Linked DNA regions of Caenorhabditis elegans. The protein of the gene in region 2 interacts with the protein of the main gene of each other region in a pairwise test. Each region holds a gene or a part of one and is shown on either strand. Other genes may lie near its edges.

Region 1 (3,758 bases), 850 kb from region 2:
AATGTCGTCAGATGTATTGCTATGGACGGAACTGAAGGACTTGTCCGTGGACAGCCAGTTGCTGACACCGGAGATCCGATTAAGATCCCAGTCGGACCAGAAACTCTTGGCCGTATCATGAACGTCATTGGAGAGCCAATTGACGAGAGAGGTCCAATTGCATCCAAGAACTTCGCTGCTATCCACGCTGAAGCTCCAGAATTCGTCGAAATGTCCGTCGAGCAGGAGATTCTTGTTACCGGAATCAAGGTCGTCGATCTTCTTGCCCCATACGCCAAGGGAGGAAAGATTGGACTTTTCGGAGGAGCTGGAGTCGGAAAGACTGTGCTTATCATGGAGCTCATTAACAACGTCGCCAAGGCTCACGGAGGTTACTCTGTGTTCGCTGGAGTCGGAGAGCGTACCCGTGAAGGAAACGATCTCTACCACGAAATGATTGAAGGAGGAGTCATTGATCTCAAGGTTAGTAGGAAAAAATGGTTCATGGTATTTAAATAAACAATTTATAGGGAAAGAACTCCAAGGTATCTCTCGTATACGGACAAATGAACGAGCCACCAGGTGCCCGTGCTCGTGTGTGCCTCACCGGTCTCACTGTCGCCGAGTACTTCCGTGACCAGGAAGGACAAGATGTGCTTCTTTTCATTGACAACATTTTCCGTTTCACCCAGGCTGGATCTGAAGTGTCCGCTCTTCTCGGACGTATCCCATCCGCTGTCGGATACCAACCAACCCTTGCCACTGACATGGGAAGTATGCAAGAGAGAATTACCACCACCAAGAAGGGATCCATCACATCCGTCCAGGCTATTTACGTACCTGCTGACGATTTGACTGATCCAGCTCCAGCTACCACATTCGCTCACTTGGACGCCACCACTGTCTTGTCCCGTGGTATTGCCGAATTGGCTATCTACCCAGCTGTCGATCCACTTGACTCCACCTCCCGTATCATGGACCCCAACGTTGTCGGACAGAACCACTACGACATTGCTCGTGGAGTTCAAAAGATCCTCCAAGATTACAAGTCCCTCCAAGATATTATTGCTATTCTTGGTATGGATGAGTTGTCCGAGGAAGACAAGCTTACCGTTTCACGTGCCCGCAAGATCCAACGTTTCCTTTCCCAACCATTCCAAGTCGCTGAGGTGTTCACTGGACATCAAGGAAAGTTCGTATCACTCGAAGAGACAATCCGCGGTTTCACCATGATTCTCAAGGGTAAGAATATTTAAACGTTGAAAACATTAAAATTAAATCAATTTTCAGGAGAACTCGACCACCTTCCAGAAGTTGCTTTCTACATGCAAGGAGGAATCGATGATGTGTTCAAGAAGGCCGAAGAACTCGCCAAGCAACACGGAAATTAGTTTTATTTTTTTTGTTATAACGCCGACACTTCGTTTTTCTTTTTTTCAATGTTTTTTGGTAGAGATAAATTTAATGTATAGTTTATTGTATTGTTGCGGTAGTGCTGTTTCCGTCAGACCACTATTTGGTGACTCCCAATACGTTGTTTTCCATCTCTCACTCTCCCTTCTTCGAATTCAACTACCAACCCAAATGCCCTAAAAGGCAACAAAAATAAAGCAAAAACATTATTTTTTTCACACCCCAAGTTCATTTGACTTCTAGTATATTTTTATCAGAAATAAACAGAAAGCCGATGATAAAACTGCGAGTTTGTTGATCGTCAAATTTCAGGTTAAACGAATGAGTAACAGAACGTATGCCGATAATCTGTTTCCACAACAGGTCGCGGAGCAGCATGAGGAACAGATGTCTTCTGGTTCTTCGCCCAAAAGTAATTCTCCCAGCAGAAGTATAAGCTCTGTTGAGGCAGCGAACTCTAGAATACACATCGGATGGATGGCCACAACCTTGGACGTTGCCGAGAATCTAGACCGTCATGTTGCTACTTTCTGTACACGACTGGGAGAGTTCAAGTATAACTTTGTCGTCTACCCGATTGGAGGGGTCGTTCGCGCATTCTGGACGCCTAATGGAAGGTTCACATCGACTATCTTACCCAACTTCAACTAGACTACTAATTTTCAGCGCGGAGAATCATCCACCTGTTATTGATTTGCCCGATGTTCAGCTGAGAAATGATCTCTGGGAAAGCTATGTTGTAGGAAAAGTATGGGGGGTTTTTTTTTTAATTTTAATTACTTTTTCGAAGAACAAGCCCTTTATTCTTAAATTAAAACCTGAAATTGTCATTTTTTTCAAGATTTCTCCATGGATCGACTGTGACTCTTCTGATCCAGCCTTTGCCTCGCTTTCCGAGGAACATCTTCTGAAAGAGCTCAGCTACATTTGTTATTTGGGTCTTCAAACGATGGCAATCGAGCTCACACGCATCTCGTCGCCTCGTACTGCTGCCATTTTGAAAAAATGGATTTGGACTAGAAATTCGCGTTTTACGTAAGTAAAATGCAATATGAAATAGCTCCTTTTTTTCAGTAAAATATTTTTTAAAAAAGCAAAGTTTATATTTATTTTCAGTGTTTGGGTTCAACTTCCGTCTGCAATTGAAAAGTGCAAAGATTATGACGCTTTCACAATAGAACATGTTGATTTATGGACAATTTGGGCCGATTTCCGGAAGAATTGTGGTAATTTCAGTGGTGTTTATTTCCAAGTGGCTTTGACGATCTCTTCGGAACTTCCCGATGAGCTTACTGAGCTTAAACTTGTGGACCGTTGGAAGGCCGAGCCCCTAGCAGCTTTTGTTATCGAATCGGGTCTTTTTATTTCTGGAAGAAATGGAGAAGCATCAATTCCAAGGTAAATTTCAAGATTACATTTTCAAATAAATACTAATTTTTCAGTGCCCACATAAATTTATTAAAACATCTATGGACAACTGATGCACTTCGGATCGTTCTTCGTGCCACAACGGATACATTCAAGTACAATACTTCTATCAAATCCGAGTATTCTCAAGCTCTTCGTCATGCAGTTCGAAATGTTAATTACCGAAGTCGTCCTGATGTTGGAGAAGGATCGAATGACTCCACTCATTATCTTAATGTTATCGAATACAAAGATGTTTTGCAAGCACCTCTTCAACCATTGTCTGAAAATTTGGATTCAGGAGTTTATAATACATTCGAGCAGGATCAAATTAAATACGACGTGTATGGAGAAGCTGTAGTTGGAGCATTAAAAGATCTTGGAGCTGACGGAAGAAAAACTGTTGTCATTTACTTGTTGGGAGGAGGACGTGGTCCTATTGTGAGTTTTTGGCTATTAAGTAGAAAAAGTCCCTTTTAATTCGACATGAAAACATATTTTGTGGCCAATTGAAAACACTCCACCCCCTGACCATGGGTCTCGTTTGGAAGTTGGCGACAAGCCGGAAATTCAAACATTTTGCAGTTAATTTTGCCAATTGTCTGAAGCGAACTGCAACATTTTTCAATTTACAGTTTTTCGGTCTAAATGAATATCAAAACGGGCATTTTTATGCGTCTCCATAGTTTTAAATATTATAAATTTCAATTTTTTTCAGGGAACGAAAATTCTGAAATCTGAAAGAGAATACAACAACACATTCCGACAAGGCCAAGAAAGTCTCAAAGTGAAGCTTTATATTGTTGAAAAGAATCCAAATGCAATCGTCACTCTGAAATATATGAATGTGAGAACATGGAAACGACGAGTAACGATTATTGAAAGTGATATGCGAAGTCTGCCGGGAATTGCGAAAGATCGTGGATTCGAACAACCTGACATAATTGTTTCGGAACTTC
Region 2 (3,758 bases):
CAAACCTTATCTACAGTTTTCTGGATGCAAGATCTTTATTTTTAAAAGAGCTGCCGAGTTCTAGTATTTCTAGACCACTACGTGTGGCAACATTCTTTCTCTTCCTATTTTTAGCTCTATATACCCCGGTTGACTTGATAGGCGAATTTAATTGAGAATTATAAATTTTCCATTTTCCAAAAAGTAAAATTCCAAATTCAAATGTTCTTTCTCCCACTCCAATATTGTAACATACAATAAAATTTAATCCTATCTCTCTTTCCTCTGTGCTTTCCATAACCTCTCTTCCATTTTGCCCGTTGGTGGCAGGCGATGGGCGGGTTTGACATCGTCCTTTAAGAATAATAAAATGTGTCATTTGGTGCCCTCTTTATCTCTATTTCTCTATTCCTCTCTAACTCTCGTTTACAAAACGCCACCTGCTCTCTCTTTCTCTTCATTTGACCCCTCTACTCCCAACACCCAAACAGACACCATCCTTTGTTCCGTTTTTTTTGGTTTTTTGATGGTGGACAGTGGTGATGGACATTTCGTTTTACTCCATGTTTTATTTTATTCTAATGTGCTATGTGTGCAACCAACATCTGCCTTCCACCGGTATAATGAGATTTTGACTAGGGAAGGGTCAACTCATGGTCACGTTGGCGACTCTTTTGGGACTTTTGAGTGAACATTTCTAAATTGTAGATTTTTCGCTATGGCCAGTTGTCAACCCTAAAAATTGGGATTTTCATGGTTTTTAAGGTACTGTTTTTTTCATGCAATATTTCAAATTCAATTATCTACAAACAAAAATATTTTCTGGAAAATATTCAACTGAAAAGCCAGCTGATATTTTCCAGCATTTTGTCAGTTGATAACTTTTTTCTAGCATCACAAAGTTATGATAATTTAAAGACTCTCCACACTTCCAACAGAGGTAGCAAAGAAACGAAAAGCTCTCGCTCAATAGGGTGCTGAGAAGCTAGACTCTGCACTCTCTTTGCAATTCCAGTTAGGAAATTTATAACTAACTAAAAATTGGCAAAAAATATTTTAATATTCTGAATTTATAACGAACTTTTGGCTTCTGGGGTAGTCACTTTGAAAGCTACATTTTGACGCGCCTTTTTTAAACGCCTTTTCGAAAATTTTATTTCAAAATTCGTTTAGTCTTCAGAATACAATATGATTCTGACATTTTTGGCAGAAAATTACATTTTTCACACTCCGTGGGAGGTCTATAAATTCGTTTTATGTTAATCGTGGCCAGTTAAAATTTTCAGCGCGTGCGCCTTGAAACTTTATTTTTCAAAAAAAAAACTTTTCCCCCCGATTACGCCTTCCCCAATTCTCGCCTATTTTGTTACACAAATTTAATTAAAATTTTTTCTAAAATTTTCATTATTTTCTCTTTCCCTCTCTCTTTTTCTGCAAAACCCACCTAGAAAACAATTTATGTGAAATTAAATTGTTATTTACTGCGCAACCGGAAAAATAAAATAAAATTTAAAAATTTGTAAAATGCGAAATCAGCAATTCAAGTATCTCTCTCCCTCTCTTTCTGGTGTCCTCGTCATCCACTACCAGCCACAAAAATAAAAAAAGAATTTCGCATTTTTTATGTGATTCAGAGAAGTGTCTCCCGTATTCGAGTACTATTTTCGAGTTTTGCAATACATCTTATCAAAAATATATGTTTTGGGGTGAAACGGGAAAATAGAAAGAGAGGGACAAGTGAGAGAGCAGAATTTAATATTTTTGATGACTTTTTCAAACAAATTTTTTTTGTTGAAAACTTTTTCCCTCACTTTTTCACATTTCTTATCATTCTTCTTCGCTTTCTCGAAATTTAATTTCATTTTTTAAACGCATTATCAATATGTTATACTTAATATTTCAGATCAACTCAGATGATGCTCCAACCGCCAACTTTAACGCCGAATGCGAATGGTGAAGAGTTCAGAGGATCCGTCAGTACAGATCGTAGTTCAGCTTCTCCTTCCAACATTGACGTGAGTTTGGATTTTCATCGTTTTGATGTGAAAAAAGAACACTATAAAAAATTACAAGACATATAAAAAAATTTTACTGTATGTCTTTTTTCAAACTTGTTCCCATGTCTTACATATTTAAAAACTATACATTAAGCTTGGAGAGAGGTTCAAAATTTTTGAATGTCTGAAAACCTACATGGGCGACCTCTAAAATTTCTAGACTTTAACAACAAAAAAATTGTGTTCTAAAAAAATTTCGCAGTTTCAAAGATGTAACGCAAATACATATATTACACATTTCTCAATCTTTTCTCTTGTTTTCGCACTCGTTTTGCCCGCCTCCCTCATTCATTTTCACAATTTCTCTCTCGTTTATTTTTTGCCTCAAACATCTCAAGATGATTTTTTATTTATTTCGAAGAAACTCGCAATTTCATTTTTTTCAACATTTTTGCCTCGCTCGTTAAATGTAAGAGAAATAGACATATTTTTCGATATGTATTGAAAAAATTGAGGTGAGAGTGAGAGCGATGAAAATGTGCTAATTCAGAAGGCAAACAACTTTTTTTTTCGATATAAAATTTATGAAACATTTTTTTTCGTTTTCCATATTTAGAAGTGCTTTTGGAAAAGGTTTAGTTTTGCCTTTATGCTCACTTTGAAATAAAATTTGCCGCTGTGGGACTCTGTGGGACTCGGAACCACACATATTTTGTTTTCCCGCTCTTTCTCTCCCTTTTTTCTGTTTAACAAAACCTTTTCAAAATAAAAAAAAGAGCACAATTTTCTTTTGGTTTTTTTTTGCGTTGTCCCCACAAGAATTTTATTATTTTATTATCTACACATTACACGATAGAAAATAAAACGTAGCGAAAATATTATCAGTTATCGGAATCGTTAAAATTATTGAAAAATTATAGATGAAAAAAATTCTTCTTCTTTTTCTTTGATAATGATAGGAATTAACAGAAAATTTCAATTTAATGATGATTGTTAGATGCTCGCGGAGCACACGACAATTCCGTAAAAGTGCGCGAACAAACAAACAGACTGTTTTTTTTGTTGAAAAAGCGAACTTTTCCTCCTCCCCTTCTTTCAATTTGTGCTCTCAAATCATTCATTTTTCCTACAAACATAAAAAACCCAATTTCTTTCGATTTTCCGTATTTTTTATGGCGCTCTTCTAAAACCGCACTATTTCTTTTCCATTTTTTTTCAATCAAATATTTATATATTTTTTTATTTATTTTGAGAAGGAAAACGGACAGGGGGGAAGGCGAGGTGGTGGTTGAGCCAGCAGCCCGCTCCCTCTCCTGTCACAGCAGCACCCAGCCACCACATACATACAACCCTCAATTTGAGTGAATTTGTGACCAATTTTCTAAATTTATTTGGTATTTGTTAGGTTGCTGCACGAATTGCTCGAATATAAATATATCTGATACATGAGTTTTTGCAATTCTTATTGATCAAGCTTAAGCTCTTCTCTAATTCTGAAATATTTGTAGGAGATCATGGAAGACGATGTGAATCAGAAGGACGAGGATGAAGATCTGAACTTAGTGGATCGTGTCAGCAAGCTCGAGACAAATTTTGTATTCATTCAGCATCAGGTGAGTGAAAAACTATTAATAAATTATTTTATTTTCTAAATCGAGAATGAAAGAAGTAGAAAAATATATTTGCACAACAATTTCGACAAGTGCAATGTGTAATGCAACAAGTCATAGGTGTCTAGTATTTATTTTGAAAATTTCCAAAAAAAAACTCGACTAGACACAA

What was found. The genes of interacting proteins can lie anywhere in the genome.
Region 1: the proteins of attf-4 (region 2) and prmt-5 interact in a two-hybrid assay, tested with the Caenorhabditis elegans proteins (one large-scale study listed by BioGRID).

The regions. Positions count from the first base shown.
Region 1 is NC_003281.10:5,228,866-5,232,623, forward strand, and holds the start of prmt-5 (Protein arginine N-methyltransferase 5), read left to right. Parts: upstream 1-1,689; 5' UTR 1,690-1,713; coding exon 1,714-2,009; intron 2,010-2,058; coding exon 2,059-2,140; intron 2,141-2,233; coding exon 2,234-2,427; intron 2,428-2,508; coding exon 2,509-2,790; intron 2,791-2,834; coding exon 2,835-3,240; intron 3,241-3,517; coding exon 3,518-3,758. Other genes in the region: atp-2 (ATP synthase subunit beta, mitochondrial), read left to right, coding at 1-462, 510-1,221, 1,270-1,370. UniProt on the Caenorhabditis elegans protein: Catalyzes the symmetrical dimethylation of arginine residues in targets such as small nuclear ribonucleoproteins, histone H2A/H4 and cbp-1.
Region 2 is NC_003281.10:6,078,681-6,082,438, forward strand, and holds the start of attf-4 (AT hook-containing protein attf-4), read left to right. Parts: upstream 1-1,882; 5' UTR 1,883-1,895; coding exon 1,896-1,994; intron 1,995-3,484; coding exon 3,485-3,589; intron 3,590-3,758.